Nothobranchius furzeri: one gene and its partners. The protein of the gene in region 3 purifies or fractionates together with the protein of the main gene of each other region. This does not show direct contact. Links are inferred from orthologs where the notes say so. Each region holds a gene or a part of one and is shown on either strand. Other genes may lie near its edges.

What was found.
Region 1: the proteins of sdha (region 3) and suclg2 fractionate together in Homo sapiens (co-fractionation; 3 studies listed by BioGRID, with this or other methods). This does not show direct contact. The link is inferred for Nothobranchius furzeri from reciprocal best matches to the Homo sapiens genes SDHA and SUCLG2.
Region 2: the proteins of sdha (region 3) and sdhaf2 purify together in Homo sapiens (co-immunoprecipitation; 3 studies listed by BioGRID and IntAct, counting the BioPlex papers as one, with this or other methods). This does not show direct contact. The link is inferred for Nothobranchius furzeri from reciprocal best matches to the Homo sapiens genes SDHA and SDHAF2.

Annotation. Positions count from the first base shown.
Region 1 is NC_091743.1:57,342,527-57,346,283, forward strand, and holds the start of suclg2 (succinate--CoA ligase [GDP-forming] subunit beta, mitochondrial), read right to left. Parts: upstream 2,728-3,757; 5' UTR 2,677-2,727; coding exon 2,593-2,676; intron 1-2,592. UniProt on the Homo sapiens protein: GTP-specific succinyl-CoA synthetase functions in the citric acid cycle (TCA), coupling the hydrolysis of succinyl-CoA to the synthesis of GTP and thus represents the only step of substrate-level phosphorylation in the TCA.
Region 2 is NC_091749.1:62,797,050-62,800,806, forward strand, and holds the start of sdhaf2 (succinate dehydrogenase assembly factor 2, mitochondrial), read left to right. Parts: upstream 1-1,052; 5' UTR 1,053-1,177; coding exon 1,178-1,204; intron 1,205-1,733; coding exon 1,734-1,957; intron 1,958-2,639; coding exon 2,640-2,749; intron 2,750-3,661; coding exon 3,662-3,757. Other genes in the region: cleavage and polyadenylation specificity factor subunit 7, read right to left, coding at 1-151, 375-458.
Region 3 is NC_091745.1:56,806,021-56,809,777, forward strand, and holds the start of sdha (succinate dehydrogenase [ubiquinone] flavoprotein subunit, mitochondrial), read right to left. Parts: upstream 2,440-3,757; 5' UTR 2,269-2,439; coding exon 2,038-2,268; intron 136-2,037; coding exon 52-135; intron 1-51. Other genes in the region: coiled-coil domain-containing protein 127, read left to right, coding at 2,780-3,343, 3,434-3,757. UniProt on the Homo sapiens protein: Flavoprotein (FP) subunit of succinate dehydrogenase (SDH) that is involved in complex II of the mitochondrial electron transport chain and is responsible for transferring electrons from succinate to ubiquinone (coenzyme Q).

The DNA of each region.
Region 1 (3,757 bases), on a different chromosome or scaffold from region 3:
AAAAGTGTATAGAAAAAGCAAAAGGCTTGATATAGCTGTTGATATGTTGAGTGTATAATTATAAAAATGTTGAGCATAGACGTTTTAGCTTCATCTTCGGACCTTGTATAGTTGTTGTATAATTTCCAAAACAGAACAATAGCCGAAATTAAGCTGCTGGTAGCTCTGCCACATTCAATCACTGCATTCCTCATTTTAGATGCTGGGAACATTTCCTAATGACTGCAGCCATTCTAAATTATTGAAAAAGCCAAAGAACCACATCAGCTACAGAAATGGCTATTAACCTTGGAGAGTGATATTCAAATCCAGTAAGATCGAACTCCGTCCTCCAGTGTCCCTTGCGGGGAGGAAATGTAAATGTGTTCTAGCTGAAACAGATGGGAAAACCTTCCATCGTTTGAAGTTCCAGCAAAAGAAGTCGCTGCAAGCAGAGGGCTCTCCACCCCCTCAATAAAATATTCAGCACCAAGTCTCACGAGCCACCTTTCCCAGTGTGACTTCGCAAGACAATGGACTTCCACACTGCTGGATTATTACTAAATATGGGCAACTTGCAAGACATTAACTCTTTTAAATGTTTACAAATTCACCACTATACAGAGAGTGAAAAACAGCCTGAGGATTATCTCACTGTGCACAAAGAACTCTAGAGATCTGATTTACGAGTGAGAGAAAGAAACATCATCCCATGACTCCTTGAGGAGCATTTTGGAGCCTAAATATGTGAAAATTGTGATGTCCTCTGTATTGCTGTTTACACACCACCTCAAATAGAATTTCTCAGCTGAGCTGACACACTGTCAGACCTGATTTGATTCTATTGTGGCGATACCTTGCTGTCAATCATTTCCTTCTCCGATACTGTGCTGTGGACCAGAGAGAATCCTTGATTATTACTCTTATCACTTTACTCAAGAGAGACCACGAGACCGAGAAAGGGAAAATGAGTGGGTGATGAGTTGAAGAAGAAGACCAGAAGGTACAAAAGCCTGAAGTGAGATTATAAGTATGTAAGAATTACTTTTGAAGACCTTTGAATGGATCAAACCACTAAAACAGAGTGATTCTACCAGATTCTTCTGAAGCACAGTAGAACCAGGATTTTCAATGGAACCAGCAAGACTCCAAAATCTATTTTATGACCAGAAATTCCAGCTGAGATTCACTACGTTTTTATATGGTTTCTAAACATAGAACAAATCAGTTTTAACTAATTATTTTTGGAAAGCTGGGCTTTTTTAATGCAAAGAGGGGGTAGACCGATTTATCAGTCGGCCAATGTGTCCGGCCGGTATTTACCTTTTTTTTTATGTATTGGCATTGGCCAATTATCTACTTGGTTGAGCCAACTTAAAGTGACGTGTGTATTTTCCCCAGCGATAGGGGGCAATATTTACCTAAATCATTGCAAGTAAGCACACACACACACACACACACACACACACACACACACACACACACACACACACACACACACACACACACACACACACACGACGACCCTGCATGGATAAAGTGGGTTCAGAAAATGGGTGGATGGATGGATGGATGGATCTCTATAGTGATTGCTATTAATGATTCTCAATGCTCTTCTGTAGAATAAACAGTGATTGTGTACGAGTTTTACATGTGGATCCCCATATTTCTACACAGTAAGTCAAGTATGGAACAATTAGTGAGTTATACAATGTCAGCAATCCAGAACTATTCAGTAAAAACTTAACTTTATGTAGTACTGCAATGGCTTTGGCAATTTTACCTCTGATATAACCTATGTGTGACTTCCAGGTGATAGCTTCATCAATCATGACTCCTAAAAATTTCGTTTCTTTCACCTTTTGAATGTCCATTCCATTTATTTTTATTGTTACATCTTTGTTGTCTCTGTCATTAAACAATATAAAACTTGTTTTATTAAGAGTTAAATCCTGCTGGAATATTTTGACAAATGAAAACGGTAATCCAATATGGCAGATAGCCGTTATTAACACCTCATAGATATTAGATCATAGGGCAAGAGTTAACCTTTGTACTGTGCTTATCTAAATGAGGTTATAGTGCAAAACGCAGAGCTGCAGTGTGTTCTAGGAACAGGGTACAACGTATCATTTGTCAGATCTAAAGCTGTCTTTAACTGCAGGTATTATTTACGACAGATTATAAAAGTAAATGTAACACGTAATATACTCAATTTTGATATTTTAACCGACAAACACACAAAGTTAACACGTTGTAGTATGGGCAGAAACTCTACAAAGGTTAAGCTCCACTTAACCTTTGCAGTCTGATTAAGACCAAAGCTAATCAAGACTTTAGTGAACGATTTTTCAGAAAAACTCCAGCTGAAAAGGTATAATTTCTAGGAAAACACTTGTTGTAAGGTGTTTTCAATTGCAGTGATTAATACTGACCCAGCGTGTCACCACGGAGCTGTCACATTGCTGAACTGTGATCCCTAACTCTTCTCTCACACATGCTAACACGCTAGCTCTACAACTACTGCAACCACGGTGACAGCGGTCCAACACCGCCATAACCCGCCGGAGAGGGTAAAAAGCGTCTGTGTAGAGACACGAGCAGTACCGGTACCTTTAGTTTGTCCAGAAGAATGTGTTTTGATGTAGCTGCCCTCAGTCTTCTAGCTGCAGCCTGGGATGCCATGGATGCCGCCATGTTGACACGCAAAACGAGATGACGTAGTGGCCAGTGAGAAGAAAATGTTCATTGATTGACAGCAGGATGGAGGCGGTCCTTAAGGTGGAAACACCCACATCCACTCATCTAGAAAGATGTGTGAAAATGTTTGTTCCTAATCTTTGTAGCTCTGAATTTAGTAAAAAAAAAGTGTGTGTGTGTGTATATATACATATATATATATATATATATATATATATATATATATATATATATATATATATAGATAGATAGATAGATAGATAGATAGATAGATAGATAGATAGATAGATATGTATGTATATATATATATATATATATATATATATATATATATATATATAGATAGATAGATAGATAGATAGATAGATATATATATATATATATATATATATATATATATATATATAGATAGATATATATATATAGATATAGATATATATATATATAGATAGATTTAGATAGATATATATATGTGTGTGTGTGTGTGTGTGTGTGTGTGTGTGTGTGTGTGTGTGTGTGTGTGTGTATGTGTGTGTGTGTGTGTGTGTGTGTGTGTGTGTACATATGTATATGTATGTAACTTTTTGTATTAATAAAGTATTAACGTAAAAGTTTTCAGAACTGTGTTACATTTTAGATATTCATGGTAAGTCTCTGATTATGGAGTTTATACAAAGGTTTCCAAGCATCTTAGCTGAATTTATTCTAATTCCACACTGATGCAGGCATTAGATCTACATAGGTTAAACATTTCAAATGCTTTGCTGTAGATTTACACACCTAACACTTTATTACATACACCTATTCAATTATTACCCATTCAATTGCTACTGGAAATACATCATCAGGAAATGGTAGCATTGCAGCAACTTGCAGAATTTTTACTATCAGAATGAGGACAATGGAGTATTAAAGTTGTTGTTGTTGGGTTTGTTTATTTGTTTGTCTGTTTGTTTGTCTGTTTGTCTGTTTGTTTGTTTGTTTGTTTGTTTGTTTGTTTGTTTGTTTGTTTGTTTGTTTGTTTGTTTGTTTGTTTGCAATGGCATGGTTAATGGTACCAGAAGGATGGTCTGAGTAT
Region 2 (3,757 bases), on a different chromosome or scaffold from region 3:
AGAGTCTCACTGAAGAGTCTCTTCCTTTATGTGCATTCCCATCTTTTGGTTTATCCTCTTTTTTAGCCGAAGCTTCCTTAGTGATCGTCTTTTTGTCTTGATCAACCGTTCCAGTAAGAACAGCATCAAAAAGGTCGTTTGCTTCCAAATCCTGGGTGAGAAAAAATTAACAATAATGTTGACATTTTTGAACAAGAAACGCTTTTAATTTATATTTTCCACTTATTTTATTACATCTCTGATTTTGATTTTAAAATTATCTTAATTTTTTGCATAATACAACTCACATAAAATTGTAAGCAATGAACTTAAAATGTACAACGATTAACTTTAACATTTGATACAGATTAAATAAGCTTTCCCGTTAGGCTCACCTCATCGTTCGCATGCAAGTCGCTGTATATATCGATGTCGTTTTTGGAGGAACTCGGTTCGGCTGCAGGTTGTGCAGCAGCCATCGTGTGGGCCTCAGATGCCAACTGCAGGCACGGAAGCGTTTTAGTTGCTTCGCTTATTTTACCTGTTCAGTTTGCACAACAGCACTGTGCACATTTATGATGCACAACAAACACTGCCCCGATTTTTCTAAAATTATATACGTTAACGTCAGTTTTCACGCTAACCGTCCTCGCTTCGCTCAGGTCCGCAACTACTAAAAAAAAAGCTAAATCTTTAGCTAAAACAAAACACCAAAAAAACAATAAATTTAACGAACTACTAATTCAATTAGGCAGTAGTCTTTACCGATAAATTAACACATAACCAAACTATTTATCTCGCATGTTGGCTACCTGATAAGCTAACGCTCCTTGTTTTTTCACTCAGTGCGTAGGAAGTAATTCCCCGGTAGAGAACAACAATCCACTTTTTGGGTCCTAGGCTTAAATTCACATTAAGTTAATTTATTTGGGAGTTGTGCGAATATTTACAGATACACAAATTAACCAATAATGTTTAATATTTATTTCTGGTGGCTTAAGCATGTTTCTTTTATAGTTACATTTCTCTTTCATCTCTCAACCTCAACTTATGTGCGCAGTCGGAAGTTTGCCGTTGCAGCCCGGTGGTGACGTAAGAGCGTTTACAAGCTAGGCATACTTGTGTAATTTTGTCGAGAAAGACATTTGTGAGAAGGAAAACGCTTAAGTCTACCCACCGGTACAAGAAGAAGTTTAATATGCTGTCTTCTTTTGTTGCGAAAAGGGTGAGTTCTTGGTTTTTCTACTGTGTGTATTTTAAGATGTGAAAAACCACAACAGAGTTAAAGCTCTCTAATATCTGTTTTAAAAGCACGATCGCAAAATGTGCCGTCATGTTTGACCTCTTATAGCCTTGGTGCTACAAATGTTGGATGTTTACAATGTTTACTGTTGGAGGATGGTTGCACAACACGCTTGATGTCATATATATAAACGTACATATAATATACATTAACTAAATGGCTAAACCGTTATTTTAAAGGTAAATGATAGACATGTTTTTTGTGTCAACAAAAATAATCAGCACAGTCCAAGATCACATACATTTAAGCTGTAAATGCACAATATTTAGAACCACAGGTTTATAAGACAGTCTAAATATTTTTTAGTAATCTTTACCAAAACATGTGCAAGGTTTCAGATGGTATAACCTAGTGTATTGTATCAACAAAATACATTGCATCAGTTGAACAACAGAATTTGAACACATCACAGAAGGAAATAATATGATTGTGTGTTTTGGTTTTCTGTCAGCTGCTTACAGGGGTTTGCCAGGCAGCATGGAGACCGTCAATCATAGGGATGGTATCATCCCGTGGTTATCGTGGAGACGCTCCTGATGGCCCCCAGGTTGACCTGATTGAAATCCCTTTGCCCCCCTGGGTAGAACGGGCAGATGAGCCCATTGACACCAAGAGACGTCGGCTTCTATATGAGAGTCGTAAGAGGGGCATGTTGGAGAACTGCATATTGCTCAGGTTTTCACACTCAGTCTTTTCTTTATTGTAATTGCAGGGTAACTGCGGGTCCTTAAAAAGTCTTAAATTTACTTTTCCAAATTTAAGGCCTTGAAAATCCTTAAAAATTACAAATAATCCTTAAATACAGTTTCCAAAGGTCTTAAATTACCAAAGACCCAGTAAACTAGATTATTTTATTCATTTTTGTGAATTTCTAGTTAGTCTTCAGCATTTTTTGTGTATAATGTTGGCGTAAGCGGAACCGTACACATTCAGTTGGTTGTGAAAGGGGGCTATTTTTAGATGAGCACATTAGCTGGTTAAGCTAGTGGGAGCTTGTGCCGTGGAGAAGTGCAAGTTTAATGGTAACTGGATGATTAATTCCACGTTCGCGACGTGGTTAGCACCGGTCCCAGGCAATAGCTGGAAATTATAGCAGAAATAAAATTGAAAAAAAAAAAAAGCTTAAATTTGGTCAAAGTGGCCTTAAATAAGGTCTTAAAAAGTCTTAAATTTGGCTCCCATAAACCTGCAGATACCCTGAATTGTCTGCCATTGAATTCACAATAATAGTATATGAGGTGACATTTTGGAACTTTACATATTTTAAGGCAACTTTGCTGATGCGGCTTCATGTATTTTTGAAAGTGCAGTCCACTTTTCAATTTGGAGTCTAATAAATGCCTCTTGTCTCTTGCAGCATTTTTGCCAAACGATACCTGAATAAAATGACCTATAGCCAGCTGCAGCAGTACGACAGGCTGATAAATGAACCAAGCAACGACTGGGACATCTACTACTGGGCCACGGGTGAGAGAGTGATTGTTTTTTCTTGACAGGTTTTTCTTGGACAAGCTTCTTATTGTTTATTTATTTATTTGTTTGTTTTAAGTTCTATAGCTTTAACCTTTTCACCATTAAATATTGTGGATGTAGATTTTCTCAGTGTTTGCTGTCAAGTTATTTCACTAGCTTGGGTTAAAAAAACAGCCTTTGTGTGCGTCATTAAAAATGATCTTCTATCAGCACTTTAATCGATAATAGTAATGATTTTACCAAATGTTCTTCACTTCACTAACTATGAATCAAAGCAACAAAAAGTTAACAAACTTGCAGGAAGCCACCTCTTTGTTTTAAGATTTTAAACTTTGCTAAATCATTTACCATTGAGTGACTTCTTTTCAATTTCAATTTTTTCATTTATAAAGCACCTTCTACCACCTTAGCTGCGGCCCAAGGTTCTGAACTGGACATAAAAAATCTGAGTAATAATAATAAAAAAAATCAAATTGAATAAAAATCCGTTAAAACAAAAATAGACAAATAAAAGCTACTAAAAACTGCAATACAAATGATAAAAATTTCTTTTTCACTTGCTGATTTGAAACCAAGCTGAAAAATAGAAATATTGTAAGAATGGCAACAGCATATTATTTTGCAGCAGCCCGGAGTACAAAAACAATTTTCAGATAGTTGCGTTGCACGGAAATAAATGAGGCATTTCTATTTTAAAGCATAGCTTTTTAGGTTTTATAACCAGCTTTGGCTGAGAAAACTACTATATGGAAACATTTATTTACACATAAACCAATCAGATTTCAGAGGATCTATCCTGTTTGCAAACTTCAGAGCCAATTGTCTTATAGTTCAGCTTCTTGCTTTTAATCCAAGCAACATTTTAACTCAGAAACCTCACTAAATTGGATCCTTCTCTATTTACAGAAACGTATCCTACTCCTGAAGTCTACCAAGTAGAAGTCATGGAAATGCTGAAGGAGTTTACAAAGAACAAAAACCACGAACAGAGGTTGGATGCAC
Region 3 (3,757 bases):
AGGAATAATTAAAAAGCATAATATGTCTCCTTTAATGAAAGTAAAACTCACATCATCAGATACTTTGGCACTTTTCTTCTTCCCATAAATGGAGAAGTGGAAGTTCTTGGAGCCATGAACCGCCACAGCAGGAAGCTGACAGAGAAATTACACAACACAATTACTGCTAATACGGATAAGACCAGTACAAAAACTAACTACAAAAAAAAACTAATTAATAACTTTGCACAACAAAAACATCTTTAAGTCTTTCACTGGTGAATAGTAAATGTGTGTGTTGACGTACTTAATAGGGATTAGATCAAAGGTCACGTTTGTTTTATTAGCTGTGAACATGGGAATCTTCTATTTTTATAGGTTTACAAAAAAAAAAACCAACATCTTTTAAGGAATCGGGAAATGCAATTTATAATAATTAGGTAAATATTATTAATACCCAGCACAGAGAATCACCACCATGGCTACCAGAAAACCTGTTGTGACTCTCTCTGGCTGATAACATGTGAACAAATGCTCAGATCTAGGTGGTCTGTTAGACAAACACTACGGTGTGACTGTTGCTAACCATTTAAACACTCTCCCTCTCCTGATAATAACATTTTACTTTCTTTGACACTGAATGTGCTACTACTAGTTTACCCGTTTAATTATAGATTCACTAGGATGAATACAATAAAGTTTATCTCTCACCAACTAGAATATTTACTAAGAAATCACAAAGTAACCATAGACACACTACTTGGTATATATGGTGTGTGTGTGTCTGCTCTGTCTTCTTGATCCCCAGTGAGTCGTGGCAGATGGCTGCTTAAGCTGGGCGGACACTGTGCAACTTTTTCACTCGTAGCACTCAGCTTCAGCTCAAACTGTACGACTTCCTCGCAGAGCAGATCTCACGAGTCATGTGCTCACACTGTACGACCCAGTTCTCGGATGCAACCTGACTGCTCACACTGTACATCTGGTAGCAACACGTCGGACCTAAAAATATGCTAAAAATAGCTGTATTTACACAACACGTCAGACTTTTTTGTCTTGTTTTGCCTGTTGTCCTTCGGGAGTGCTGCAGGAGGACACACAGGGATTTATGGGGGTTGGATGAGGAAAACGAAATAAAGAAAGTAAATCTGTGTTTTGTGATCAGTTTAGTTTGACATGAACACGACAGACAAACTTTGTTGACAATATTTGTGAGTAAAAAAAAGTGTAGAAATAAAAACGAACAACGTGTGTTATTAGGGAAATAGCGGGCGAGCAGTGTCGATGCATGATTGCACAAGCGCCATGAGCGGTTCTGATACTTTTTGGGTCGCAGCTGCTCGCAGCGCCGCTTCAACAGTGCGATACCCTCACGAGGGACGAGCAAAATATCAAACACGCCAGAAGTCCGTGCGAGCTCACGATTGCTGATCGGTAGCTGGTCACGTGGTGTTAATAGCCGCTCGTAACCCCAGTATACTACGCGATGCTCAGTGCAAAACTCGCCCCGATCTTGTGGATTCTCGTACGAGTGGAAAATCGGCTCAAAAAAGTCGCACAGTGTACGCTTGGCTTTATACTGAGCCAGGATCCTCTGGAGGTTTCTTCCTGTTAAAAGGGAGTTTTCCTCTCCACAGTCGCTAAATGCTTGCTTACTATGAGGATAGCTGTAAAGGATTGCAATTTTCTGGGTTCCTTATATAGGAAACTTTTTTTCTGATTGGCTTAATGAACTGACCTGTATTGGATTGTTTACTATGTGAAGTGCCTTGAGACGACTCTTGTCGTTATTTGGCACTATATGAATAAACTTGAATTTAATTGAACTGAATATCCTGAACGAATAAGGCCTTTAAACGGCTGTCCTAATAAATAAAGTGACAGAAAACAGAAAGGAGAGGTGTGCAGCTTTCTTCCACTGTGTCACATTGAAGCTACATAACACATTACGCAAGCTGGACCGGCCTGCCGTTGGCAAAAGCTAAACGTTCACTTGCAGTTGACACAAAACTTATTAACGTATCACGAGTATACATAGATAAGAATTTATTGAAATACCAAGCTACTGTGACTCACTGCTTTTGTTCTGGACAGAACTCTCCTGGAGAGGAGACGAGACGCAGCACGAACAGTCGCCATGTTTTCAGCAAGAAACTGTTGCGGGGGGAAGAGATTCGCTGCCGGACCAGTCGAGACGAAACCACTTTTTATAAAGGGGTGATCTATTGTTTTACAACCAATTTTATTTTTGTTTAGATACATTTGAATTACACTATAATTTGAATACATTTATTACTCTATTAAATATGCCTATGGAATAAAATGCCAAATTATTTTGGGCATTAAAAGAAAATCTTTTTGTGTTGTTTCCTACAATCACACCTGTCGGTGTGTGGACCAGCACGTAAACGTAAAATCGGGATATATGAAAGAACAAATGCATAAGTGACCTAGACATTATTCAAGGTGAGGCAACACTGTAATTATTCAACAGACGTACAGTGTTATAAAATAAAAGTAAAGCGGTGCTGCCCTTGTAACTTGAAATACACTTTGTGAGATAAAACCCAAAGATAAAGGTTGCTTAGCCTGCTAGCTGAACGGAAGCTAGCATTGTTTATGTTCTGTCAGAAACCCGTAATTTCCTGAATTTATTGATGTTTACATGCTAACCAATGCGAAGAATTAATATAGTTTTTTTATATGTAAGCTTTCATTCAGTAAAATAATAAACCATTGCAAATATTTTGTAAGTTTTAGTAGTCAGAGCTGTTTGCTGTTACAGAATCTCATATTACTTATGGTTTGGCTGCTTTCTTTGTGTTTGTTTACAGAAACCTCCATGAACAACCTGAATGACCCCCCCAGATGGAACATTCAACCAGATCCCAGAGGAAGAGAGGGGGCTGCTGGTGATGGAAACCAGTGGAACTATGCCCTGCTGGTCCCCATGCTGGGACTGGCTGCTTTTCGTAAGTTAAAAGGGCCTGTGGTCCTTATGGGTTTCTACATATTTCAATATCCAAGAGAAGCAAACCAGTCTGGGTTATGTGGGGAAATACTGGGCACAAATGGCAGCAAACACATATCTTCCTGTTTCTTGTGTTTCATCATGTCAGGTTGGATCTGGACTCGTGAATCTTTGAAGGAGATTGAGAAGGTTAAAGCTCAGTATGACAGAGATGTGTGTACGATACAAAGTGACATGGATGCGCGTTACCGGGACACACTTACAGAGAGCCGCAGAGCAGCGGCTACACTGGAGCTGGAACTGGAGAAGGAGAGGCAGAGGGCGAAAGGTTACCAGCAGGCTCTGGTCTCACACTCCCAGCATCTTATACAGGAACGCAAACAGATGGAGCAGGTAAGTCTCCAGAGCCTCCGCCTTTATTAGTATACCTCCTTTTTTCTCCTTTTAAAATGAATAAAAACCCTTTGTTTTGTTCCTCATTAGGAGCGAGAGGCCTTGAATGACCAGAAGCATAAGTTTGTAAAGTGTGGAGCTGCAGGTACTGTTCTGCACGACGCCCTGGAAAAAGAAAACAGCTGGTACCTTCGTGCTGCAGCCGCCCTGAAGGAGCTAGAAGGCCTGCTGGTGGAGCGGCAGAACGCCTACTGCTCTGTAATCCATCCTCGGGAGAACCGGCTGGAGATGGAGAGAAACATCCTCCTTAAGGTTGTCAAGGATCCTGTCGTGGCAGATCTTGATCTAGAGTCTGACCTCAAGGATATTTTTAAAAGAGACAAGCACTGTGCAGATCTGCTGAACATGGACAAG